Saccharomyces cerevisiae S288C: one gene and its partners. The gene in region 1 interacts genetically with each later gene. Each region holds a gene or a part of one and is shown on either strand. Other genes may lie near its edges. The genes, in order: CNA1, VCX1, YKL069W and ATC1.

Region 1 (3,844 bases):
ATTACAGATAATTTGAATAGTTATATGTTTGAAGAAGAAATTAGTCCCGGCGTTGTAAACAACATAATTGAAAATAACATTTGGGTTGGAACCGACATCCGACTATTTAAGATCGCAAACTTCAGAAAAGAATCTTTTTCATTTCTGGAAATGACATCTTCTTTTTTCAAGAAATTTAAATTCATTAATAGCGATAATGACAATTATAATAATAACGAATTTGATGATAATACACAGTTAAGATATACCTCTAGAGGGTTGTATAGATAGACACAAATTTTGACAATCACAAAGAAGAAAAAAGAAACTATTTACATATTTAAACATCTACCTCATGATTATTTATGTACGAAAATTTATAATTTAGTATAATTTAGTATTTTTTGCTTCTTATACTTAGCTTTAACTTAGCTGAACGATTAGACCTTAGCAAACACAAAATATAAAAATATGAAACATAAAAAATACACATGTTGAAGAAAAGTAAAAATCTTCACGTAGCGATGCATTGCCCACCTTTTAAATCTATATTGAAGATCTCCTCTAGAAGTCCAATGTTTAATACGTAACTTTCTTGATATATATTACATATTTTGGATAACTCCACCGAGATTTATCTAATTTTGTTGCTATTTCTTACTGGAAGTGCAAAAAAGCAGCGCACTATCAATTATAATATACAGATTTTGAAGATACTAGTGCTTTCTTCTTCCTTTTGGTTGAACCAATTCAAAACCGTCTTCGTCAACAATTGGTTCAGGTTTAGACGATACTAAGTCAGGTACAACCTCGTCCATCTCTTCATCTTCATCTTCGTCATCATAGTCCTCTACATCTTCATCGTCTTCATCATCATCACCCTCAATATGCACAACTCTTTTTGATTTTTTAGTTCTCTGCTTTTCTTGCCATTCCAAATACAATTTTTCTACCTTATTATAATTTAAATTGAAACAGTCGTTATATATGTTGATGACCTCCACGGCAATCGGTAAAGCCGAGTCGTCTTCAACATTAGTTTCAAATTCATCTATCATTGCATAAAGTAACGTTTCTTCGATTAAAGCGGCGTCAACAACTTTTTCATTTTTGAAAAGGTCTACTACAATCCCTGTAATCCAGTCTCTCTTCTCAGCTGAGTCTGGACCACCCCAACTGTTTTCTACGGCAACATCCAACGCATCCCACTTATAAATAACCATGGAAACACCGAGCTCAAAACGTGCCTGTTGCTTTTCGTCAGAGAACATTAGATTGGTTTTACCTTGCTCAGCCTGAACAAATGCTGTCTCATCAATATATTGTGTGCTCATTGTTCCGTAAGGATTATCACTATAAAAATTTTTCGCAGATTTCTTTGGACTCCACCTTTCTTCCTGTTGCAATAAATACAAACTGTTTGAATCATTTTGATATTCATCTATATCTATTTCAAAATTTTTCATGTCATCGCCTCTTGAAACATGAATTTTCCAATTCTGAAAAAGAACGTACTACTGGGAAACAAAAGGGAAAAATGTATAAATCCTTTAATGTTTTTGAATCAAGAGGCATTATTATAAAAGAACGAAGCAAAGCCTTTAATATTTGCTTTATTAAAGGTATTATTCAAAGAAAAGTTTTTTTAGATTCTTTTTTTTTTGACGTATTAGCTCAGCTGCCATAAAACACTCTCAACGCCAATGTCGAAAGACTTGAATTCTTCACGCATCAAAATCATTAAACCTAATGACTCTTACATAAAGGTTGACCGGAAAAAAGATTTAACAAAATACGAATTAGAAAACGGTAAAGTAATTTCTACTAAGGACCGACCTATCGCTTCTGTACCTGCCATAACAGGAAAGATACCAAGTGATGAGGAAGTATTCGACTCCAAGACGGGATTACCTAATCATTCCTTTTTAAGAGAGCATTTCTTTCATGAGGGTCGACTTTCTAAGGAACAGGCCATAAAAATCTTAAATATGTCAACTGTAGCATTGAGTAAAGAACCCAATCTACTAAAACTCAAAGCGCCAATTACTATATGTGGTGATATTCACGGGCAGTATTATGATTTATTGAAACTGTTTGAAGTTGGCGGTGACCCCGCCGAAATCGACTATTTATTCTTGGGGGATTATGTTGATAGAGGTGCATTCTCTTTTGAGTGTCTGATTTATTTGTACTCCTTGAAGTTGAATAATTTAGGGAGATTTTGGATGCTAAGAGGTAACCATGAGTGTAAGCACTTGACCTCTTATTTTACTTTTAAGAATGAGATGTTGCACAAATACGATATGGAAGTTTACGATGCTTGCTGCAGATCATTCAATGTCTTACCATTAGCAGCTTTAATGAACGGACAATATTTTTGTGTGCATGGTGGTATCTCTCCAGAGTTAAAATCAGTAGAGGATGTTAATAAAATTAATAGATTTCGAGAAATCCCATCTCGTGGTCTCATGTGTGACCTACTATGGGCCGATCCTGTCGAAAATTATGATGATGCAAGAGATGGTAGCGAATTTGATCAGAGCGAGGATGAATTCGTACCTAACAGTTTGAGGGGTTGCTCTTTCGCCTTCACTTTTAAAGCATCATGCAAGTTTTTGAAGGCAAATGGTTTGTTATCTATTATTAGAGCACACGAAGCACAGGATGCTGGGTACAGAATGTATAAAAACAATAAAGTAACAGGCTTCCCGAGCTTAATAACCATGTTCAGTGCGCCAAACTACCTGGACACATATCATAATAAAGCTGCTGTGTTAAAATATGAAGAAAACGTCATGAACATCAGGCAGTTTCACATGTCTCCGCACCCTTACTGGTTGCCTGATTTTATGGATGTTTTCACCTGGTCACTACCTTTTGTTGGCGAAAAAGTTACTAGCATGTTAGTGTCTATATTAAACATATGTAGTGAGCAGGAACTTGACCCAGAATCGGAACCCAAAGCTGCGGAGGAGACTGTAAAGGCAAGAGCAAACGCAACTAAGGAGACCGGCACCCCATCTGATGAAAAGGCGTCATCAGCGATATTAGAAGATGAAACCCGAAGAAAGGCTTTGAGAAATAAGATATTAGCTATTGCTAAAGTTTCAAGAATGTTTTCGGTGCTAAGAGAAGAGAGCGAAAAAGTGGAATATTTGAAAACTATGAATGCCGGTGTCTTACCTCGTGGTGCTCTAGCTCGTGGGACTGAAGGTTTGAATGAAACGCTAAGCACTTTTGAAAAGGCTAGAAAGGAAGACCTTATTAATGAAAAATTACCACCATCTTTATCGGAGGTTGAACAAGAGAAGATTAAATACTACGAAAAAATATTAAAGGGAGCGGAGAAAAAGCCACAACTGTGATAAATCTCATTTTATTCTTTTTTATTCCTATGAGATGCAACATCGAATTCTTGTGCTACTGTCACGATCCGCAAGAGATAATATGAACTAACAAAATACGAAGAAAATATAGATCATTTCCAGTCTATTTCTTGATTTCCATACTTAACTGCGAGCAGAATAAATATAAACACATATTTTTTAGTTTTATTTTATTATTAATGAACCCTAGTTACCAATTAGTTATGTAAACGCTTTTCGTAAGAATGTAAGTTATGAACACCACCTTCTAGTTGAGCAGAAGCGGTTCTAAATTCAAATCTAACTTTACCGCTTTGGACATTTTCCTTTAATAAAGTTAGGGACTTGTAACCAATGTCTTGACAAGAATGTTGTAAACCGTTGTACAAATATGGAATAAATTTCTTGATAGAACCTTTGTCAACGACAGCACCGGAGACACCTTGTGCGACCAAAACACTGTCTGATTCGGAAAAGTAACGGGAGGTAGATGCATTACC
Region 2 (8,800 bases), on another chromosome or scaffold:
TGCACAAGATCAGAGACATCGAAAACCTGGTCGCTGATGCTGTGGAAGTTAACATTCCATTCAACAACCCTATCACCGGGTTCTGTGCATTCACACATAAAGCAGGTATCCATGCCAAGGCCATTTTGGCTAACCCATCTACCTACGAAATCTTGGACCCTCACGATTTCGGTATGAAGAGATATATCCACTTCGCCAACAGACTAACTGGTTGGAATGCAATCAAATCAAGAGTCGACCAATTGAACTTGAATTTGACGGATGATCAAATCAAGGAAGTTACTGCTAAGATTAAGAAGCTGGGTGATGTCAGACCGCTAAATATTGATGATGTAGACTCCATTATCAAGGACTTCCATGCAGAATTGAGCACCCCACTTTTAAAACCAGTAAATAAGGGTACAGATGACGACAATATCGATATTTCCAATGGGCATGTTTCTAAAAAGGCAAAGGTCACCAAATAGTTTCATTATATATATAGTACACATATTTCAAACATACACATACTGGGCGTTATTAGGTGTTTAAGTACTGGCGATTACCGTAATAAAATTACTATTTACGTCAACTTTATTCAATAAGCTTTTTCTCCTACTCCGATGTTCAATTGAGGCGGTTGCATCTAGCTTGAAGACGGGGTATTTTAATCAATTAATTGAGATCAATGAATATTGACTCTGTGCGATTCCCCACGCTATTATACTCTCACGGAGTATTTCCGTTATGATAATGATCACTATATACGTCAAATGATCGGTTTCTATTTGCTAACTATTTCAAGCATCATTATTATCTTTTAGGGGGCGGCTGGGGAATTATTTATTATATTTAGTTCAGTCGTTCATAAGAAAATTGAGCTCTCCATTGTAGATATTAAGAAGCACTTTCACCCAGTCATCCAACCAAACACGCTATCAATATGTTAAACCGTTGCATTTCCCGTAATACCAGGCTGCCAGTAAACCTAAGAATTGCCTCTCGCTTTTATTCAGATGGTCCTCTCGGTGGTGCCGGACCTGGTAATCCTCAAGATATCTTTATCAAGAGAGAACGTGCCAAAGAGGATTATTATGCCAGACAACAAGAGAGGGAACAATTAGCACATGTGAAGGAACAACTAAAAGAACACAAGAAAAAATTAGAGAATTTAGAAAACAAAATTAATAACCTTTCAAAGTGATTGGTCATTGTTAAGGCTAAAGGTTCTGCAGACACGTTTTGTACGTAGAAAGAAGCAATCATGCCAAATCAAAATTAGGAAATGAACATCAGTGGTATTTTATAAGCCTGCACATTATATATAGTATATACGTCACGAATACAGGAACACCGTCAGTTAGAGAAACGTCGCCTCAGTTTGCTCCTCAGATATTCCTTTAAACCCATACATATCTTACACAAAACATCCGTACATCAGAAGGATTATATGAAACGCAAAAAAAAATAAAATTTTCATTTCTGCGTGTCGCGCGAAGGAGAAATCTTAGAATTGAAACTTCCGGCTAACGGTTGCTAAAACTAGTTTCCAATGTAATACCAAATAAGCATTTGATGTTGAATCTGTAAGCCCCTTCGTGATATTTCAAGGTTAAATTACGAATTGCAGTTTCAGTTAATCTTGGACTAACAAAGAAATCAAACAACTAAGAAGAAAATGTCTGACTCTATTATTTCCTTTGCTGCTTTCATCCTAGCTGATGCTGGTTTGGAAATCACCTCTGACAACTTATTGACTATCACCAAGGCCGCTGGTGCTAATGTCGACAACGTATGTACAAAAATGCAACCTAAAACGACTTTGTGTGACTACGAAGAGAAAGATTAGACAACAATCGTCCCGAGAAATGCGCAATTTTGAATAATGGGGGACAGAAAAATTCCATGTAACGTTTCCCTCTAACATGATGAGATACTAGGGGGCAATACATGTAGAAATATTTCTCCATTAACGTATTTAACGGAAAGCACAAGTCAGGATCGAATTACTTCTTCAAGGATCTCATTTTACTAACAAACTCAACGAATAACGACTCTTCCTATGGAGCTTGTTATATGTATCATTGAATTAGGTCTGGGCTGATGTTTACGCTAAGGCTTTGGAAGGTAAGGACTTGAAGGAAATCCTATCTGGTTTCCATAACGCTGGCCCTGTTGCTGGTGCTGGTGCTGCTTCTGGCGCTGCCGCTGCTGGTGGTGACGCTGCTGCTGAAGAAGAAAAAGAAGAAGAAGCTGCTGAAGAATCTGACGACGACATGGGTTTCGGTTTATTCGACTAAACATACAAGGAAAGTCATTTTTTCTGCAACGTTTTTTTACCCTTTATGTATATATATTTACATATAAAATAAACCTCTAATCAATCAGTATTTAAAAATCGGAAGTAATGTCCATACGAAAGGGCTACGAGAATTTAACCATCTCGTTCTTTGCTAGAAATGGCACTGCGGGATAGCCCCTGGTTGCGGGATATCAGACCTGTCGTCACCATAGCAACCAAAAATTACATAAACCCATGGTTGCTCGCCCTTTGATGGCGACGCCGACCGAAGCTTCTCCCGCGCACATTTTTAAAATTTTTACTCATCGGGAATGAAAGGTTCTTTGACACATGTAAAGCTCCCTAAGTTGGACATACGTCGGTCCTTACAGGCTTAGCAATACACCTATAAGGCACTAGAAACGTATAAAATTTGAGCACTTTAGTTTCTCATCCCTTTTGATACGAAACGCGGGCAAGGCTACGGCATACAGGAATTTAACATTTTGTTGGCTATGGAGCTAAGAAGTAGACGGAGCGCAGAGGCCTATCTTGTCACGCCTGAGGAACCTGCCAAGAATAAGAGTGAACGGAGCATAGAATCCAATGAGAGGGTCGGCACGAGGGAAGCAAAGAGCGAGAACACAAGTGTATTTAGTCCCGCTTACTCTGATACCGCTACTACAGATTCATCGAAGAAAGTTGATGACAATGAATACTACAATTTTACTAGTCACTTCATGCCATCTTTGAAAAACACCAGAGAACTAGAAAACACAATTCTCAATCTCATACAGAGGATAAAGGAAGGGGATGATGAAACGTTAGTTAGTGAGAAAGATCTCATATTAAGTGTGCTTAACAGGTCTTTAGCATCCACATCTCACTGGAAGTTACAGGCCCAGCTATCGGAGTTAAGGGCCACCTCAGAGGGAAGGTATGCAGTTGAGACAAACTTGTTGAAAAAAGAGGTAGAATTTTTAAAAAACAAGACCCCAAAAACCAACGAAAGTGCAAGTTCCGCAGAGTTGAGACCACTTCTTGAACGACCTTTAAAGCGTAAACTGTCATTGCCAGGACTAGCGCAAAGACCATTATCCACTGGCGCTAGGCTAGAAGGAGGATATGGAGGTGTATCGCCGAACTCATGGAAAACCAAAGTTCCAAAACTTCCTCTTCCTGCTTCCCGGCCGTCTTTGAATCTTTCTCCCCAAAAAGTCCCAACGGGTACTGATAAAGTTGAGGAAGATACCAAAATTGACACATTGGAATTAGTAGAGAACAATAAACCGCATCCAAGGATGAGAAGAAGGAGTGACAATCCAGCAACAAACGAATATGTGAGAGTTTTTCATTTGGAGAAAAAAGAACCTAAATCACGAAAAAAATAGTATGCTAGAAAAAAATATTATTGAACGTCAATAATTTTTCTTTCTCATGGGACCAAACACATCATTTATTCTCTAATAATATTCTATTCTCTTTATTTCTGGTTTACTCTTTTAAAATTCTCCAAAGAGAAATATCTCCTTCAATTCTTCAGTTACGAATTTATGTTTACTTTTAACCTCTATCATACACCTTTAATCTAATGCCTCCAACTGTCTGTAATTTTAGTACAACTTAAAAGGGAAATTTTCCGAAAGTGTGAAAAAATTGGATTTTTTTTTCTCCTATTGAACTCAATGGAAGCTATCAGTTTGGAGAGGGACAATTATTTTCCTTCTTGTTTTTTGCCAAGAGAACAATATTGTAGTATTTAAGTTCTAATTTAATGTTATATATACTTATCTAATAGTTTTTTTTTTTCAATTAGATTGTTTTCCTTACGACGTTAATCCCTTGTCATCCTCACTTACGAACTTCGATGAATATGACATACGTAATCGGGAATGTTTTGTAAACTAATTGACGTAGTTCCTTTTTCGTAAACTGGACTGGACGGCTTGATCAAAATTCCCGAAAAATAAAAATTTCCCTCACGAGAATATGGAAATTACTATCGCCCAGCATTATTTTATCTCCTCAGAGAGTAAAAGAAGTTTCCTCTTTCCTAAACTTAAAAAGCAGTCCTAAATATATAGTTGACTTCGACGCATATCATTCATCGGCTGCTGATAGCAAATAAAACAACATAGATACAATGGATGCAACTACCCCACTATTAACTGTTGCGAACAGTCATCCCGCCCGCAATCCAAAGCACACTGCATGGAGAGCAGCTGTGTATGATTTACAGTATATTTTGAAAGCGTCACCCCTGAATTTCCTATTGGTATTTGTTCCTTTAGGTCTGATTTGGGGACACTTCCAACTATCTCATACACTGACATTTCTTTTTAATTTCTTGGCAATTATACCGTTGGCAGCTATCTTGGCTAATGCCACGGAAGAGTTGGCTGATAAGGCTGGTAACACCATTGGGGGACTGCTAAATGCTACTTTTGGTAACGCTGTGGAACTAATTGTTTCTATCATTGCCCTGAAAAAAGGTCAAGTGAGAATTGTGCAGGCCTCGATGCTAGGTAGTCTTCTTTCTAATTTGCTGTTAGTGCTTGGATTATGCTTCATATTCGGTGGATACAATAGAGTCCAACAGACATTCAACCAAACCGCCGCTCAAACAATGTCCTCATTACTTGCCATTGCGTGTGCATCCCTACTGATTCCCGCTGCCTTTAGAGCCACCCTACCTCATGGCAAGGAAGACCACTTCATCGATGGAAAAATATTGGAGTTATCCAGAGGCACCTCTATTGTTATTCTCATCGTTTACGTTTTGTTCTTATATTTCCAGCTAGGGAGCCATCACGCCTTGTTTGAGCAACAAGAAGAAGAGACCGATGAAGTTATGAGCACCATTTCCAGGAATCCACATCACTCTTTGAGTGTCAAGTCATCATTGGTGATACTTCTAGGTACAACTGTGATCATCTCTTTTTGTGCGGATTTTCTAGTCGGTACGATAGACAACGTTGTTGAATCTACCGGGCTATCTAAAACATTTATAGGTTTGATTGTCATTCCTATTGTGGGTAATGCCGCAGAGCATGTCACTTCAGTCTTGGTGGCCATGAAGGATAAGATGGATCTGGCGCTAGGTGTTGCCATCGGTTCCTCTTTACAAGTTGCCTTATTTGTTACACCATTCATGGTTCTTGTGGGCTGGATGATCGATGTTCCAATGACGCTAAATTTCTCCACTTTTGAAACCGCTACTCTTTTTATTGCTGTTTTCTTATCCAATTACTTAATTCTCGATGGTGAGTCAAACTGGTTGGAGGGTGTCATGTCTCTAGCTATGTATATTTTGATTGCAATGGCATTTTTCTATTATCCAGACGAAAAAACCCTTGACTCTATTGGAAATAGTTTATGAGTAAGAACAGTAGCGCAGAAATTCACCATTCTCTTTTTTTTTATATTTTATCTTCTTCGTAATTCTATCGATGGACCAATACAAAGATGATTATGACTAGCAAGTCATTATTATGATCGTTATATTATACATATTATGTTTACGCAACTAATTTTTATATCGAATTTTATCTGAAAAAAAGTTTTCAAAACCAACAAAATATTTTGTACACTCTTCGAAACTCAAATTCTGCACCATTTCCATTCTGATAAAAGGTTTAATATTTCGAAGCTTCTCAACTACAGCTCGTGTTCTTCTTGCAGCACATCAGCTGCTTTGCTGCACTGTTCAGGGTAACGTTATTCATTACAACGAGAATATTTAGGAATTTTGCTCAAATTCATGGAGCTTCCTACATCATTGCACAACAGAATTTCGTTTTGTAGTATAGTTTATTAGAAACAAATGTGAATAGATCATGAGACGCGAAGCCCTATTTTAGCGGATTTTAGCCTTACATTTCTGAGTGAGAATGCCAGCTGAAACACATTCTTGTTACATCTGTCACGGCATTCCAGCTGTAAAAAACCAGCAGATATCGCATAAAAAAATGGCCAGCTATAGAATAAAATTAGCCCAGCTATATTTTTATAGCGTCTTTTGATGACGCGAAAAGTAGACTTCGCGTAACACGAAAAATGCTGGTGCAGGTGGATTTTTTTGGCAGATACTACGGTCAATTCTCCGCTCGAAGATTTTTATAGGCCTGGCTAGTTACCTATTTAGTGCAAATTGGGAAGAGATCTATTGTTCCCGCAGACACGCTAAGTGGTAGCTGTAACTTCGGAGACGTGTGAGACCTTCCTCAAACATGTTACAGGTTGATCGATTTACACATCTAATGCAAGTTTAAGTGCTTCTTAAGTGTTTTTTTCTTTAGTCTTATAAGTTCTCCTTTCTTTCACTTTATAATTCTCCTTTATAAAAGTAAGACCCGGTGCTAAACAACCTGATCCGACAAGAGCAATTTCAATACGGCAGCAACTTTTTACTACAAAAGATGTCAAACTACGAAGCCTTGCTGAAATTCAATAGGAAGGCTGTATCTAAGGAAATGGTGCAATATCTAGCATCGACCACAGCTTCCATTATCAAAATTAAGAAGACGAATAGTATGATAGATATTGCATTGCCAGCACCACCGTTGACTAAATTCATCAACAGACTGATCAAGCATTCTAACGTTCAAACTCCGACTCTGATGGCTACCTCTGTATATTTGGCCAAATTAAGATCAATAATACCGAGTAACGTTTATGGTATAGAGACCACCAGGCATAGAATATTCTTAGGTTGCCTAATATTAGCTGCAAAAACGTTAAATGATTCCTCCCCTCTTAACAAACACTGGGCCGAATATACGGACGGCCTTCTCATCCTAAGGGAGGTTAATACTATTGAAAGGGAACTATTAGAATATTTTGATTGGGACGTCACCATTTCCACAGATGATTTAATTACATGTCTCTCGCCATTCTTGAAGCCTATCAAAGAGGAGCAGTTGTACAAATCGCAAAGAGACTGTCGCACGTTGAAAAATTTTTCTGCTCAAGAAAAAGACATAGTAAACAAAACATCCATTTCCCATTCGCGCTCATCGTCCAATATGTCTATCCCATCTTTAGCTTCCACTTCGACCCTCTCCACGTTGGAATCTAGAAGATCGAATTTATCCAATTATAGTAACAGAATACGAACTTTGCCCGAACTACACGAATCCAATAACATTAGCGACAAGTTTTCTCCGCGAACATACAACATAGACTCCAAACACGATAACAAGGAAAATAGGCCAATACCGACAATTAAGCCTTTTAATTTTAGTAAAGCGCGCCCTGTGATCTTGAAAACTGGGTTAAACAAACAGATAATAAAAGAAGATACAAAAGTAAAGAAATCGAATTGGTCAAATTACTTCAAATCGTGATTTTAAATGTCGAAATTATGCCTGGCCTGCGTTTCTTCATGGCACTTTCGGAAAAGGCGGAAGAACACAGGTAAATGTTCTTACGACCGAGGTCCTACAGCCTCCCTTTTTTCTTATTTTACATATTAATATACATAAATATACCATAATGCATTCTTTTTCTAATGATTTAGCTCTCCTTTTTTTGACAAATTTGAAAATAAATATAAAAAGGGCCATAAAATATTGAGTTAAAATTGACGATTTTTTTTATAGAAATGACTTGAATTTACGATTTAAAATAAAAATATACCTGGCATATAACTAACTATACAAATCATCATCTTCCTCCGCATTAGAACCAAATGCAGCACCTGCTCCACTTGGAGCACTATTATTACTGTTAGCATTGTCCGTAGCCGTAGTACCTAATGGAGCGTCATTAAAGTTGAAATTACTGAATTGACCTCTAGATGCTTTCATTTGCTGTGAGTATGCTTCATAACGACGCAATTCAGCATCTGAAACAGAACGTTTAGCGGTCTTCATAGCTTCTGCGAAATGCTCCTTTGTAATATATGGAACAGGATCTACTTCTGGTTCTTGTTCAGCCTTTGCTCCCTCATCTGTCATTTCCACGTCTTCACCTTCTACTTTCACTTCCTTTTCAGCTTCGTGTTGTCTGTGAGCTTCGATAGAATCCTTGATAGCGTATTTAGCAGCCCTCTGCACAATATAGAGTAAATCAGCACCAGAGAAACCTTGAGTGGCCTTGGCAATCGCAGTTAACTCTAGCCCTGGTTCTAGTGGTGTTTTCCTTAATTGAGCATTTAGAATAGATAATCTAGCGTTTTCATCTGGCAATGGAACATAAATTAATTGATCCAATCTGCCAGGTCTTAAAATAGCAGGATCAATTTGATCTGGCCTATTGGTGGCACCAATCACGAACACATTTTTCTTAGCATTCATACCATCCATTTCTGTTAATAGTTGGTTGACGACTCTATCCGAAGCACCACCAGCATCACCCAAGGAACCACCTCTTGCCTTGGCAATGGAGTCTAATTCATCTAGAAAAACGACGGTTGGTGCAGCTGCTCTTGCCTTATCAAAAATATCACGGATGTTAGATTCCGATTCACCATACCACATACTCAATAATTCTGGACCTTTGACTGAGATAAAGTTGGCAGAAACCTCAGTAGCTACAGCT
Region 3 (8,011 bases), on another chromosome or scaffold:
AACAATCCATTTCTATTATTGGTTGTATTACCTAAAGTGTTGTTGCTCTGGCCAAACAGCGACCCTGAACCAACTGGTTTTGATCCGAAGGAACTGCCCCCCAGCTGATTTTGATTACCAAACGCATTATTGGTGTTTTGAGATTGCTGTCCAAATAGACTTCCTTGTTGATTATTTGTCCCAAACGCTGAAGATTGTTGGTTGCCAAACAAGCTGCCGGTAGTATTGCTTTGTGAGTTGTTCCCTGCCCCAAATATGTTAGAGCCGTTGCCATTTAAGCCTGTTCCGAAACTACTTCCGGTGTTTCCGAATGTGCCAGTGGTACTTGTACTTTGGCCGCCAAATAAACTAGAAGTACCTGCACTATTATTATTCTGCGAACCAAACAAGGTCCCTCCTGTATTCGGTTTATTGAAACCAAACGGGGAATTGGTACTGTTACTGTTATTATTAAATGCATTATTGGTATTACCACCAAAAGAACCCATTGAACTGGATCCTCCAAAAGTGTTCCCATTACTGGCATTTGAGGAGTTTAACGACCCAAATGGTGAGTTTTGGGTGGCACCCATTGACTGGCCAAATGCCCCATTATTTTGAGTATTGTTATTTCCAAATAAACTGTTACTATTACTGCCAGCGGCAGAAGTGAATCCACCAAATCCTGATTGGGCATTGTTACTGGTGGAATTGTTGTTGTTATTGCTATTTCCAAAAAGAGAGTTTGGTTGTTGCGATTGTTGCCCACCGAAGGATGACGTATTTGATCCAAAGGAAAGGTTGCTCCCTCCAAACATTGGTCTATTGTTGCCAAACATTGTTAGTACCTGAAAAAATTCAATGTACTAATAGTCCGGAATCAAAGCTAAAATATTTTGGTTAACAAAGACTGTTCTACGATATGTTATTTTCTTCTCCTCTTCAGGTCCAAAAGCGGTGGTCATTTGTAGATGACTTCAGCATAAATATGCTTTTTTTTTTCATGCTTTTTTTCTTCGCTTACGGCAAATATTTAAGGTGTCACGGTGATTGCAAGATGGGTAACACTTTCCGTTCTAACTAAGCATCAGAACATAATACAATCTAATCTTTGTCTAATAATCGACCAAAGAAATTTCCTAATGCTAAATGTTTTACTTTGAGAACGTTCTTGGAGAAGTCTCATTCCGATGTGCGGTTAACCTCTACTCCTATCAGGATAATGCTGCCCTTACTTGCAATAAACAGGTAGAAAAATACTAAAATACTGCAAATGTTTTCCATTAAAAGTTATTCTACACAATAGCTATTAAATTTGTGGTAAAGAGGTGAAAAAAAAAAAAACCTCTATAGCTTAATAAACTAAAAATTCGTACTATGCATAAGTAATCAAAACATGCATCTACACAAAAAAAATTGAAAAATCTATAAAAACACCTTCCTAAAAAATGAATATCGCCAATATCTATAACAAAAAGTCTCACCGGTATACAAGGATTGTTCAGAACAGCTAGCCAAACTTTAACAACCTCCAGCATTGACAATTAAAAATGTGAAAATAAAACAGCTAAACGAAATTACCGCCAAAATTGGTCTCACAGTTTACCAAATTTTTCCGTCATAGCACTCATTTGAGTCCAATATTTTAACTTAACGGGAGTTAAAGATCCTGTGTTGAGGTCTACCATCAGGTCTTCATCTTCTATTTCTTCCTGAGTTTGACTTAAAGCTTTTTGAAAACTTCCTTGCTTTTGTGTTTGAGAAAAGAGCCCATTTGACCTCTTTGAAGTACTTGATTCGTAAAGGTAACTGACGGAATGGTTTGCCTGCATTGTAGTTGATGATATATAATGTCGTTGATTTATGAGTTACTAGATGGCTACCATTAAGTCTCACTTGAAAATTCGCGGGAGCTGAGAGATGCAAGCATGTAACATTAGGTTCTGTAGTTATATATGATTGTTTCTTCCATTGCCTACATCAGAATCGAACTGTTCTAGGGCCTCACAGTCGAAACAAAAGTTTAGCGTTGTTTCGAGAAATGGCCGCACGAATGGCGATAGATGTCGAAATGCCACACTTTTAATTTTCTCGTTGCGTTTTTTTTTCTTTTTTGCCCTTAGCAGAGGGCAAAAAAGTGACAGAGGAGCCACAACTGCGGCCCGCGTGAACAAAAAACCCCATGATCTTTCTCAATTTTTTATTCGCATGCGACTCCTACATACACGGGACCTGCAAGGTGGTGCGGTGCAGCCACACGGAAGACTATTGTATACATATGTGATTGAAAATGCTTCTTTCCTTGAAAAGAAATAAAGGGATGCTACCTCTTCCTGTGGCACACCTTTCCTTGGACTTTGTATTGAGTAAGGATCCAGACACCTTTAGTGGCGAGCTTGATAATCCAGGTAACACAATATCGCCAATGATTTTTATCAAGTAAGACTATCGCATCCAGAAGATTATTAGTTTAATGTTGTTCGATAAGGCCTATTTTTAGGCTCTTTTTTCAACATTTCCAATCGTCATGTGAAAACTGTACAAGCCACTTAATTTCTCAAAGACCTCGCCACAGAGAAAAGCTCATATCTGTGGCATCACTTACTGCTTCTATGCATTGATAAATCTAGCTAGAATTTTCACCGATATCATGCAAGTAAATGATAGAAAATCATCACAGTTACGCATCAAACACATTTTGAACGTTCCTTTCTTCTTTACGGCAAAGTAAGCATGCCTTTAGCGAGACTGGGGTGAGCTGAAGAAGAACTTGCTGCACTATAGATATGACTTTAGATGTCCGTTATTCAACAATTAAGTGGTTTCGTGGTCTAGTCGGTTATGGCATCTGCTTAACACGCAGAACGTCCCCAGTTCGATCCTGGGCGAAATCAATTTTTTTTTCCGTCAGATATCTCCGTCATTTTCGTTGACGTTTTTTTCTTACCAAGCAAAGATATTTTTAATAAATGCTGAATATCCTTTGTTTGAGGGTAAACATGCCATAAATTTGCAATAAGGGTTACAAATAAAGATTGAGAGCTGTCAATTTGGCGAACAGGGAATGTTTTCTTCACCAATGATCTCCTGAAGCCCCTCAATCTTTCTTGATGTTTATCTCTATTCGTGCCCGTCCGACAATATATTTGACAAGAGAGCTACATGGGAATATTGGTTATGTGCGTAAATACTTGTTCGTTCTCAAAACTCTTATTTAAAGACACATGATTTATTAATTAATTTAGCAAGTTTTTCTAGGAATTCTTTGTCTACGTGGTCGAATCCTTCGTAATCCAAACAATCTATGTCTATGACGCCCAATGTCTTACCATCATTGGATATGATTGGAACAACAATTTCGCTCTTGGTTTCACCGTCGCACGCAATATGACCGGGATACTTGTTGACATCTGGAACAATCTGCGTTTCCTTTGTAGAGGCTGCAGTTCCGCAAACACCTTTACCGAATTGAATCATTTGGCAAGCGACCTTTCCTTGAAATGGGCCCAATATCAGTGTGTTTTCTTCGCTAGCTTGAGTAACGTAAAATCCAGCCCAATTGATATCAACAGCTAATGACTTGTACGCATGCCAGATCAATGACGAAGCGTTTGACAAATTACAAACCCAATTGACTTGTCCATCTGATAGCCCCTCGTATGAAAGCAGAAGCTGTTCTAGAATTTCTTCCTTATTCAGATTTGAAGAATAGTTAACATGATCGGCATGATGAAACCCGGTTGATGAGCCCATATCTGTTTGTTTTTTTTTGTTTTTTTTTCTAATTTACGGATTTGTTTTATCAGCAAACGCCTTTGTTTGCTTACATTTGGGAAAATCGTCATCATATAAACATGAAGAAACCGATGATATTAGCGTTCGTTAAAAAGGATAATACTTCGTTGTAAACTCAACTGTAAATATCTTTCTTCATTTCCTCCAAACATGGTTTTCTAACTGCAGGGAATAGGTAAACCTTTGCGTTTGTGTTCTTTCTGCATCACGGTGGGCCTTGCCCTCTGTTAAGTCAATATTAAAAGATAAGATAAGAAAAGAATGAAAACGAATAAATAATTATTGATATTTAATGCGCAGAGAAAATACAAAACTTATAAGCTACCTGGATAGTTATCTTTTACAAGGCGAGCCATTTCTTGGCCTCTTTCTCCACCAAATTCTTTGAATTTTCAACATATGCCTTCAACATTAATCTGTGATTTATTTTGGTCGAATTTGAACTTTGATTGAATATGGGTAATACTGATTTCAAGCCCGACAATGTTTTGAAGCATAGCATTGATATAATAATCTGGGGCATCAGAAACGCTCCACTTTACTTCGTACATTTTCCCCCTCAGGTCTTTTCTCTTCTTCTTGGTCAGTCAAAGTTGATAACATATTAATAAGCCAGTCTTTATCGTCGCGGATAATCCTTGGTGTACCGTAAACGTGCACAGCGGCAAAATCCCATGTTGGTACGAACTTATGGGTCTTTTTCTTCATTGGGAACCACGCCGGAGAAATGTATGAATCGACGCTCTGAAATACCACTAAGCATTTTTGAACTCTTTCCAGCATTTCCACATGTTTATTCTTCCGTGCTAAATGTGCAATAAGTTTATGCTCTCCATTATCGAACTCCACGAATACAAATGGAATATGTGATGCGCACATACCAAAATCGGGGTCATCTTTATTGGAAGAAGTTCTCCATCCGAAGAAACCTTGCCTGCTAGCCTTAGAGGAGAATAGTGTTCCTAGCGGGGGTTTTTTTGATAATTTGTACCTTGAGAGTTCCATGGACTCAAAATGTTTAGGAATGTACATTATGAAATAGATTCTTGGATTCTTCTCAGACTGGCAATTTATGTCTATAATATTAAGGGATGGTTTTCGGCGAATATGCAGAATCTTCGGTTCTAGGACCAGTTATATACCATCCTAATTAAAATCAGAGGACATAATAGAGATAGTTTCAAATCTGGTTAAGCGTTAAAAGATCAGCATACAAAGTGATGCCACAAAATACCTTCTTAAAGGGGCGTGAGGCAAAAGCAAAGTCACATCATATAGCACCTACCAATAAAAAAGTGTATTACACAAAGGTATATTCCGTATCTGAGTTGTATATAAGTAGCCAAATTTGCACTTATCTAAAAGACGCCTTCGCTGCCGTCATAGTTGAAGAACTTTCCATTATCTTCTGGTAAAATTTTTCGGAAGACATCAATTAGCGCAGAGGCACTTTCTTCTGGTGTGATAATATTTACGCCGCTGATGTCTATATTCTTCTCTTTAAAATGATCAAGGCCATATTGGCCCATATCAGTAGATACCATACCTGGGTGAAAAGCAACGACAGTAAAACCCTCCGGTTTCAATTCAAAACTGAGCGTCTTTACCGCATAATTCAAGGCAGCTTTCGATTGACCATAAGCGGAAACAGAAAGTGGTACAAACGCATTGATAGATCCTGCAACACTAGAGATAAAGAATATCTTCCTCGTCTTTTTCAAAAGAAGCAGTGGATAAACTTTTTGAAGGGCTAGTATCGGACCCAGAGCGTTTGTGCTATAATGGTTGAGCCAGACTGATTTGGGAGTTTCCAGGACCTTGTAATAAGAATCAGATACTGCAGAACATGCGATAAAAATATCAATACCCAAGAAGAATGGCGTTTTCTTGATCTCGTCCGCAATATTGCCAATACTTTCGTCCTTTGTAAGGTCAAGTTGGACAATATGGATATTCTTCCTGATTTTTGCTAAATCTTCCACTTGTTTGTTCTTGGGTAATGAAGGTGATCCACGAATAGAGGTTATAACTGTATTGCCCGTAGAAGCGCTTAAAATTTTGACCAAATTAAAACCAATTCCACGGCTACCACCGATGATAAAGTAAGTTATTCTTGATGAAGTATTCATATCGACTTTGTTTGCTTAGAATTCTACTGATTTATGCCACTGGTAAAGGCTTTATTCTTAAAAACGTCAAAAATTAGTTTTGAAGCATCGCCGCCTATTTATTATAACTGGTATACTATCTTACTTATTAGTACTACCATTTATACCGCTATGCATTACTAATCACATTACTAATCTCATTACTAATCTCATTACTAATCTCATTGCTAATCTCATTACTAATCTCATTACAAATAACTTTCTATTGAGGTATTTCTAGGGAATTGCGAAGTTGGTTTGCTTTTTATGAGACCCGCGGACGTTAATCGAAGATATAATCCACGGAAAAATTATATGTCCTGCAATTTGTGCACAGTATATTAATCGGGAACATATATGATTAGATTATTGCAAGTCATGCAAGCTAAAGTAAAACAAGCAATATCAGGAGCTCATAGATATATCATGCACACATCAGGTAGAAGATAGGAAATTATAGAAGATCTGAAGAAATTAGAAGAACTAAGCTCGACTAGCCTAATAGGAAAATGGTGTCCCTTATTTAACCTGAGAAACCAATATTTCGTAGTATCTTCTTTTTTTCTTCCATGGTAATGAGTCCAACAAACTTTGAGCTTCTAAAAAATATAAACTCCAAATGAACCTGATCAGGACAAATGTTCTCTAGGGTAGTTAGATACAAAACCTTTCGGATGAGGGATTTCTTATCCTAGCTATTTAATGAAGCAAAATAAAGCTGTTTCAAAAAGCTTAAGTGTTTGTACTTTTTTTTACCAGGTTAAAGAAACAGGAATAATTATTCGTAGAATTGCAAAATTTTTTATTGACGTACTTGTTTCTATTTTTTGAATAGTCAGTTCTTCGGAAGGCATTCAATAAGAGCCCAATATAAGGGTAAGGTGCACTTTTATACAAGCTGGCCAAAAAAACCGGGAAATGGCAAAAGTTCGAACTATTGTTTCATAGGTACTATTAAATCCTTTCATTTGGTAAAGAAAGGTGCTTGAATGACTTTGCAGACTATTTCTGTTTCCTACCGAATAAATTAGGTGCGCTTTAACGCGCAGTGATGTGTAGATCAATTGAAATGGGGAACTTGCTTATTGAATACAGGATTAAAGAGGAAATGGTACGGTACATTTTTGGATTTTGCCATAACTCACGATAAACTGTGGATGGCTGCATCAAAAGATGGAGAGTTGCTAGATGACCGTCACGTCTGCGTAGTCTCTTCACAACATGTTTTATTGACTTGGTTGATGCTATTGTAGTGATTAAAGAGAACGAGAGATAACGCAAATCAAAATTTTATGTTGTGACATTTGGAAATTGAAGGAATACTTATCTTCGAAAAGCCGGAGCAATGCTTTTACCTCGCTAGAAATAGCATGTCATGTAACATGGTAATGTTAGCTTTATAAATAACCGCGCTATTTAGTAGGCTACTACAATTAACTCCCAGACTTCAAATTAGTCAGAAATGTAATACAATGTTGTGTAACGTTAGTCATATGTTATAATTTGTATTCTCGCAGTAGAGGTAATTCACGATCTTAGGATTTGCGCATGTTTATGATCATAATGTCAAAATAAACTACGTAATGCGTAATTTTAAATAGTTCTTTTGCCCAAAGTAAATGCGCATTATTATAGCATTCGTTGATGTTTCCAGTATTATTGCGATAATACTGGGGCCTGTCCATGAAGTTTTAATAGCAAGTGGCTTAGCAAATATTCTAAAAATTGAGATGGTCACATAACGTGAAAACTCTAAATTCGCGGCAGGAAGTCGGTTCTTTATCCTATGTGATTCGATGTGGAGGCAATTACCTATCTATAATATATGAAAGTTGCTGTATACTTATATAAGCCATTTATAATATGCAAAAGGCGGTAACGATATGCCGCGCAAATCAAAATCCAGATTGAAACAAGAAATAATGATTAAGATATACTATCAGTAACACGACAAAGGTAAGGAAATTCCAGTAACTGAGGCTATTTCATCAACCTAAGTACATCATTTTCAAGAAAAGAAGAAATACTTTATTTAGAGTGTGGAGCGCTAAATGTATGGCAAAAAAAGAAAATGAAACGGACAGGAATTG
Region 4 (8,298 bases), on another chromosome or scaffold:
ATTATTTTATTGTTTTCCTACTAAGGTTCTTTGCTATTGTTCTTTTAATTTTTGGTTTGTAGCTGACTACACGTTTCAAACCCAATCTTGGCAGCCCGGATCTTCATCACTCAGCTTTTCCCTACTTTTTTTTTTTTTCGTTTCCTTTTTCTTCTTTTCTTTTTCTATTTAAGAGAGAAGTTGGCGAACTTGAAGTACACATACACGCTCTCCCTCGCATCCCGGAGCTCGCAATCAACCACTATTACTAATCACATCCTAAATTTTGGGAAGCCTACACTACGATGGACACTGTCGGTACGGACGCAGCAGCCGCGAGCATTAATGAGCGTCGCTTTGCCCAGTCCACTTCACCAAAAGTTAGTGTGAAGTCACAGGACTCGCTGTTTCTGATCACTTACTCCAACATGCAGCAGACAGTGGTACAAGCGTCTTTGGCGGACCGGTACCCTTCGCTAAAGAAGCTTAACATCCTACTTTACATAGATATCCCTACGATCGACTACTACAACGATGAGATGACTCATAACAAGCTTTCCAGACTGAATAAACGGTTTAAGCTGCATCGGCTTAGAAATTCGATCGCGCAAAGTTTTTCCAACACATCTACTGCGGAAGATAACGATAAGTTTTGGGAGGAGTTGAAAAGTCTGATCAGCTCTCGCAGCACACCGGAAAACAAGTTTGATCTGAATGTACTGGTGTCGTCTTCGGGGTCTTTACGTTACGTGGAGACCATAAGATTTTTGGTTGAAAAATTGTTTAATTCTTTCAAAGACTTGTATGTTCAAAAGAAACTAAACCTATGTTTCCAGATCAACGTTTCTCCCACCTCTCTCAAGTGGTTTTCTACTTTCCTGAACGCAGAACTGCTTAATTTAAAAATCATTAATTGGCAGAATATTGGTTCTTTCACTAAGACAATCCAGAACTCCAAGTCACTCCCGTTCAAAGAGTACTACACCAAGTTGAACGAGAAATTCACCGGCTCAAACCAGAGCAATGGTAGCATGCAAGACCAGACTGTCTTGGATTCCATAGTTATTGTCACGAATAGCACGGGGGTAAAAGCACTGCTGACTTTGTTGTCAGACCACCCTCTCACCAGCCTTATCTCCCAGGAATCAATAAAAGCGCTACATGAATATTCAGATGCTGTTAACGAAGATAAGGGCGACGACCAGAGCAACACAAGTTTGAAAAGAAACTCTTCGTCGTTGTTGAATTTTCAAAACTCGGTTTTAACCTCCAATAAAGACAAGTCCGTCAGAATTAGGTCGTTGTCTATCAACAGAAAATCCAACAGGGCACATATGTTCAAAACGAACGAATCCATCACAACTATCCCATCAACGTCAATCAACAATCTTATTGGTCAGGAATCCAACCTACGCAAGCAGCCTTCGGGAACTGCACTGCATTTACAATCGCATCTGCATCCACATTCCCGTTCACAATCCTATTCTAGTTCTAATATGTCCAGATCGCCTTCTCCCTTCCCCTACGGAAAGACACCATCAAACGACGAACTAGTATATGACGAGTTAAACAACCAAATCAACGAAGTGCAAGACCGTGCTAAGAATGAGGAAATTGTCCTGTACAACAATAATAATTATGACGATTATACAAAAGAACGAGGGGAACAAGAGCAGGATAGAACCTCATACGCAGATGAATATGGCTTTAATTACGATGATGAAGAAGGTGGAAATGAAGACAACTATGATGATGATGAAGACGATGATGACGATGATGACGATGACGATGAGAGTGACGATGAAGGTTTGAGCTTTTACGCTCCAAGCATTTTGTCCCGCTCTGGTTCGAGCACAGACGTGTTATCCTCCGGAATAGATTCTATGGCAAAAAATTCGAAGGAAACAAGGGGTAGGTTTAGGTCCTTGAGTTTAATGGACCCTGCTCTGCAAAAGCCGTTCAACCAGAAATTTCCAAACAGCCAACAACCCGATTCTGCAGGGGCTTCATCACCTAAAAGATCGACCTCTTCAAACCATTTTACTAACGTCTACGTGCACGATGGTGATTTTGACGGGACAGACACTATCAACAACAAAAAGAATCTATCGTCTGCAACGCTTATTAAAAGGAAATCTTTGATGAACAGAAACTTGGCTCCTTCTATTAGTAATGGATTGATACCTCCGGAATTTATTTCCCGAATATCTACGCCCTCTACAAGCGCAAGTAGTTCAAACTCCTCGTTGAATGACATGTCTACAGTATCAAACGCATTTTCCAAATTATTAAATGACACAAGTAAGAAGCAAAAATTCTTGAATTCACCAATTCCACAACATACACAACAGGCATCTCCATTACTAATGAGAAATAATTCAAACAGTAACTTGCTATTTGAGAAGAATTTGATCAACAAGTCATTTGAAGAACTGAGAAGACAACCATCAGTTAACCTTTTTAGCACCTTGATGAATGGTAACATGGAAAAGAATGGTTTGGCACTAAACTTCAAGTCCAGAACGCCTACAGATGCGTTGATGGCGAATAGCATTAAAAATAGTAACAATTCCAGTCATAGGTTACTAAATCTCGAGGAAGAAGACCAAATCATGTCTGGATCTCTCCCCAAAGAACGCGAGGACGATAACGATTCGACTAATAGCACAATAGTACCGAATCACCCAGACAATGATAACTATAATGATAATGATAACGACAATAATACTGGTATAAATTCCAATAATTTCAATCTAAATCTCTATGATGACAATGATAGTGCAGGCTTTACAGATGTAACAACTGAAGGAGTGAAATACTCAAACTCGAATTCTACAGTCACCAAACCCGTTTATAAAAAAGCCGTCACCCTGGATTTATACGGCGAAGATGATATGGATAACATGGGAGGATGGGTATTAGGAGGTAATGCCCGGTAAAATAATCACCTGAAAAAAACTAGGTTAAGCACAAGGCAAGGGAAAAAGCCAAATTACACATATACTTGATTATAAATAGATTAGTAAAACATATATTCTAAATTAAAACAGCACTTTAACCGATATTGTATTTTTTTTTTTGGGTTTACGTGATACTGCGTAAATCTTCAATTTTCAGGGCTTTGTCCGCAAGGGGCCCGTTTATTTATCAAAAAAAGTAATGAGATTTTCGAAGAAAGTTCATAAACCTATAGATCTTGTTACATTTGGCAAGAAAACAATAAGTGGGATCTGCGGTCCAAGCAACGCATTTTCTTTTCTCTAATCGACAAGTTCAAGTAAATATTTCTATTAGTCATATATCTCTCGAGCTTATATATTAATAATGAAATCATTTCAAAAATCTTATGAATTCGATTACCCATGGGAGAAAGTCACCACGGCGAACTGGATGAAATATCCAAACAAGATCTCCACACACGTTATTGCAGTCGATGTGCTCCGCCGAGAGCTCAAAGAACATGGCGATGTACTTCTTACAGAACGGCTGATAACCATACGTCAGAACACCCCTCACTGGATGTCCATTTTAGTGGGGAACACTAATTTAGCATACGTGCGAGAGGTCTCCACCGTTGATCGAAGGGACAGATCTTTAACTATGAGGAGTTGCAATATGACCTTCCCGCATATTTTGAAGTGTTACGAAACCGTACGTTATGTTCCTCATCCGAAAAATCCATCGAATGTGACTCTTTTCAAGCAGGATGCAAAGTTTCTGTCTGGTGTTCCGACCAAAACCTTTAGTGAGAAAGTAGAAAACTGGGGCGTTAAACGTTTTAGTGATAACGCGGTGAAGGGGAAAGTCGGGTTTGATAGTATTCTAGCAATGTTCAACGATATCTGGAAAAATGCTAACGAATAAAAAAAAATACATCTTTTCTCAAGCATTTTTTCTCAAGCATTTTTTCTCAAAAAAATAAGGATTTATAGCCTCTTTGCATATAACTACACTCAGAAACTCAAAAATAAGTGAATAGATTAATTTGCCAAAATAGTTTCTATAGCGTGTCTTTCTCTTTTTGCAAACTCGTGTCATCTTGATATAAATCAAATATTTTCTGTCATTTTTTTTTCTCTTTTTTTTCAGTTTCTAGAATTTTTTTTTTCCACTTTAGCGATGAGATGAAAAATTTCCAAAAAACATGCGGTACGGTATTTTCAATGAAAAATTTCAGAGGGCTAGTGCCCTATTGAAGAGCTCAATACTTGATTGAAGTTTTGACATCTTAAATTTTGTTGGTTCAAGTTACACTAAGGTTGTGATAGGGAAAACGTGAAGATAATGAACACGAATCAGTCCAATCCGAATACAGATTTAACAGATGATGCCAATATAGAACATACGTTGCATCGGCTGCTCACTCAGGCAAATAATCATTTTGATGATACAGTAAAGATTGATGGGCAGAGTTTAGATTTGGGAAAGGATCTCGAACAAGTTATGATGGATAATTTAGACTGCACTGATATTTTTGATTCCGACATCGCTTCTCAGAAACACCTAACATTGGAATCTTTATTTAACGATGAACACAACACCGATTCGAGCACACTTTTGGAAATGCAGAGAAGTGCTAATGATAGCCTAGTTGGTATTGATCTCGATAGGCATAAAAAGGGTTATACTGGCAAGGCATCATTAGATAAAAGTACAAACCAAAATAACGTACATAAACCTGATAAAGAACAAAAGAACTATAAGATAGATAAACCCACCATCAAGAAGAAAAAATCCCTTTTGAAAACCACAAATGAACCCATGTTATCCCCTGCATCCCTATCACCTTCATCTTCGTTAGCTTCATCCGACGCTAATGAATCCCACCTAAAAATAGAATCCATGATTACTGATATAACATCTAAAATAGATTCTGCAAGACAAGACATTGTATCTGCAACGAAGCCTGCTAAGTTCACAAATGAGTTTACAATAAGTCAAATTTCGGAAATGAAGGCAAGAATAATTAATACTCATAAATTGCTGCTCAATTTCAATTTTATTAAAGAAGGTTACGCGAGATCTTGTATTCAATTGAAAAAATCTATGGACTCTTTAAAGGATAGTGAAATTCACAGAGCACATTTATTGGTTGAGAATGATGACTTGAAGCAACAAATCCTAGAACTTACTCAAAAACTCAATGAAAAATCATCCAAGGAAAGTTAAATTTAGAGTTAGTTCTGCTAAGTTTATCTGCATTTATTGGTTTTTTTGTCTTTACTACAAAGATGGTCCAATTTTATATACAATATACACTACCTTTCTCAGTCATCGTTATTCGTACTCAACTTTTATTATTTTAAGGAACACAGTCGCATTTTTGAGTTTCATGTATAAACATTACTATACGCATATTTCGTATTTAACTTTCTATAAATCCCCCAAAACGTTTTATTAAATTTTCAACGGTACGCTCGAATAACCGATTTAGTTTGAACAGGAGGAACCATTTTCGCTCATGCGTATGGCTTAAAAGACCATCGAGTCATTTTTAGTAGGGAGGTAATGGTTATTTAGTTATATATCTAAATCACTATCACTTTCACTTCTATCATGATTTGTAGAAGCGAAGCGTTCCGTATTCACAGATGAATGCTTTCTTATTTCGAATGTGTCTTCTATAACACCTGAATGGGCTAAAGATTGCTCTAGCCTCCTAATATCAAACCCATTAGGGTCATTTCCCAGTTTACTAAATCCTACGTAGCGAACTTTTTCTAGGCCATTCTTGTATCCAACTACAAACGGAAGTACTTTAATATTCAGTTTATTAACCAAAAATGGACATGTTTGGACGTTTACTTTAATAAATCTCGTGGTTAGATACCTCTTTGCCAAGTTTTCCAGTTTTTCATTCATATACTGGCACTTACCGAATGTTTCTAATTCAAAATGTATGACCACCATAGTAGTCTTTGTACATATTTGGATAGCATCTGCCTCGTTATCAATGCACTGCAATCTACCGTATCCGTCATCCTCAACATTCTTCTTGACCTGTTTTAAATGATCTGATATTTGTTGTAGCCTCTCCGACCGATAAGCACTCAAAAATTCATGATCCTCGTCTAATTCTCTATCCAATTCATTAAGTAGTTCATCTAAATTTTCCTCGCCACTACTTTTGTCATCGCTATCGACAGTTGTGTGTTTATCCTTTTCAGCATTTGAAAGCACATTTGTGTAGTATCTGTCTAATTTATCTTCCATATTAATTTAATCTTCATATACGTATGAGTTGTTAAGAGAATGGAGTATTTTCGTTAATCTTTTGTACTTCATCCTACTTTCGTGTTTTTTAAACTCTAAAAATTACACTACTATGATCACTATATTGCTATGGAATAATAAAAAGCAAAAACGAAAGATTGAAAGGAAAGTCGTCCTTTTGTATCCATCTTTTAAACAAAGCTTACAAAGAAATTTGCCGTCATGACTTGCTAAATTTGATATAAAACTAAAGGAACCAACAACTTACCTAGGTGTTCTTTTTTGTCCCCGTATAGTGAAGTAATTGGTGTTACGCCCAGTCCTGCAGTTTTAGCTTGGACCACAAAACATAATGCAAATCCAGTAGAGGTTATGCAAACTGTTTGGTGAGCATAGTAATACCACACCCGGTATAATTTATATCTCTTGTTCATTGTCTGTATATAAGGTGTATTCGCATATATTAAATAGCCAGACGTTTCCCTTCAAAGCATTTTGATCCTGGAAGAGAATAGCAGTAATTCTGTCTAGACTACAGTATAAAAATAAATAAAAATGGGCATCACAGAAACAAAAAGGACAATTGCATTAACTAGAAATTGTTTGATCGAACGCGTATCATTCACAGCGTATTTACTATGTGTCAATGATTTTTTGGATTTCGATTTGGAAATACTTGTAGGTAATGGCAAATCTGAGGTGTTACCATCAGGTCGTGTAAATACTCTGTTCATTATGGTTGCTACGCGATTATTAAAAGATTTTGGGAAAAAATGCATGTATGCGATAAAGGCAGCAGAGAATAATAATCCCCATAGGTACATTCTGATTGCCTTATAGGGATCTGGCATATAGCATAGCTCTGTTTGGTAAGTTTTTGATGCATACTCTCCGCCGGCATTTACCATTGTCAAATCTGAAGGATTATATAAGGAGAGCAATTGAATAGCAGGCCTACTGATCCCCATGTTCATTGCACATGACTTTACTGTAATTTCTTGAGCATTTTTAGTTTTCCCCTGAAACGGATATGAGTGTGATATCTGACAATGGTCATGATCATCCCCGGAAAATAATATTTCTGGTTGAATTTTCGTTAAAATTTCTTGTGATATATCGTTTTCTATAACTGTCTGGTACTGGTGCCCTTTCTGAATAGGAAAAGGTTCTTTGGATTCACGTAGCTGACCGCACGTTTGCTGTTCTGGATCCCTCCATAATGGAACGTGAGTTAAAAGAATTCTAGGAAGCGGATGTGAACCCATTGCAAAATTATCCAAAAACTGTCTAGGAACCCTCGAGACATTCGGATTTGTTTTATCAGAAAGCGAAATTGTATCTAAAAGTACAAAGGTATGATTTCCAGCGTCTAATGAGGAGGAAGTTTCTCCAAAGTAACTAGAAAATCTCTGTAAACTCGATTCAACAACTGTGTCTCCAAAACCAATATCGTGATTACCTGGTAAAGACATGACCGTTCTTCTCAGTGGCTTCTTGGGGAATATTTGGTTGAATCGTGTGTACTCTTTAATCCATTGCTTATCATCCCAGTTTCTCCCTCCATCAAATAGATCACCTAGGAAAAAATTGCTATCAGGATCCAAGTAATACTGGACATATTTCCAATTTCTCCTGTGATAATGGTCAACAATCACTCTTGTAAAATAATTAACTATTTGAGGCCTCCCAGGATATGAATATTCGTCCATTATTTGTGGGTCTGCAAATAAACCCACCCTATGACTTTCAGCGCCTTCAGGCCAATCCTCCCAAGTCGACCATTGGCACTTCTTCATTGCTCTCTTCACAACCACTGATTCATAATAAGATATTAATCCTAACCATAAGATCCATACAATAGATATGTATCTCCAGTAGATTCTTAACCTCTTCTTGCTCCTGCTTTTTGATTTCTTTTTCGAACGTGATTTATAGTGGGCCTTATCGTCGCTCTTCTTGCTGTGTGTAGATAAAACGCTCTTTGACCTGTTACGATATACCATACTTCCTAGAGCTTATTGTCTAATGTATCCAACAGATTAGTAGAAGCGGTACTGTTTTCCCTTTCTTTTTGGTTATTGTTGTTTCCATAATCGTTCGTTCTAC

What was found.
Region 2: of CNA1 (region 1) and VCX1, extra expression of one rescues a mutant of the other (dosage rescue), as found in Saccharomyces cerevisiae (one study listed by BioGRID).
Region 3: mutations in CNA1 (region 1) and YKL069W together harm fitness more than expected from each alone (negative genetic interaction), as found in Saccharomyces cerevisiae (2 studies listed by BioGRID).
Region 4: of CNA1 (region 1) and ATC1, extra expression of one rescues a mutant of the other (dosage rescue), as found in Saccharomyces cerevisiae (one study listed by BioGRID).

Annotation. Positions count from the first base shown.
Region 1 is NC_001144.5:1,003,847-1,007,690, reverse strand, and holds CNA1 (calcineurin catalytic subunit A), read left to right. Parts: upstream 1-1,682; coding exon 1,683-3,344; downstream 3,345-3,844. Other genes in the region: ECM30 (Ecm30p), read left to right, coding at 1-270; TSR2 (Tsr2p), read right to left, coding at 696-1,313; IMP dehydrogenase IMD3, read right to left, coding at 3,563-3,844. UniProt on the Saccharomyces cerevisiae protein: Calcium-dependent, calmodulin-stimulated protein phosphatase. This subunit may have a role in the calmodulin activation of calcineurin.
Region 2 is NC_001136.10:228,249-237,048, forward strand, and holds VCX1 (Vcx1p), read left to right. Parts: upstream 1-4,403; coding exon 4,404-5,639; downstream 5,640-8,800. Other genes in the region: homocitrate synthase LYS21, read left to right, coding at 1-467; STF1 (ATPase-binding protein), read left to right, coding at 923-1,183; ribosomal protein P1 RPP1B, read left to right, coding at 1,658-1,771, 2,073-2,279; YDL129W (uncharacterized protein), read left to right, coding at 2,776-3,651; cyclin PCL2, read left to right, coding at 6,679-7,605; AAA family ATPase CDC48, read right to left, coding at 7,909-8,800.
Region 3 is NC_001143.9:303,006-311,016, reverse strand, and holds YKL069W (L-methionine (R)-S-oxide reductase), read right to left. Parts: upstream 3,733-8,011; coding exon 3,190-3,732; downstream 1-3,189. Other genes in the region: FG-nucleoporin NUP100, read right to left, coding at 1-818; YKL068W-A (uncharacterized protein), read right to left, coding at 1,575-1,811; YKL070W (uncharacterized protein), read right to left, coding at 4,297-4,806; OSI1 (Osi1p), read right to left, coding at 5,133-5,903. UniProt on the Saccharomyces cerevisiae protein: Catalyzes the reversible oxidation-reduction of the R-enantiomer of free methionine sulfoxide to methionine. Does not act on S-enantiomer of free methionine sulfoxide or R-enantiomer of dabsylated methionine sulfoxide.
Region 4 is NC_001136.10:827,479-835,776, reverse strand, and holds ATC1 (Atc1p), read left to right. Parts: upstream 1-4,263; coding exon 4,264-5,148; downstream 5,149-8,298. Other genes in the region: SND1 (Snd1p), read left to right, coding at 285-2,918; UPS3 (Ups3p), read left to right, coding at 3,304-3,843; PLP1 (Plp1p), read right to left, coding at 5,500-6,192; YDR182W-A (uncharacterized protein), read right to left, coding at 6,423-6,626; putative lipid phosphatase CDC1, read right to left, coding at 6,720-8,195. UniProt on the Saccharomyces cerevisiae protein: Involved in cation homeostasis and in the regulation of the cation stress signaling cascades. Also involved in bipolar budding.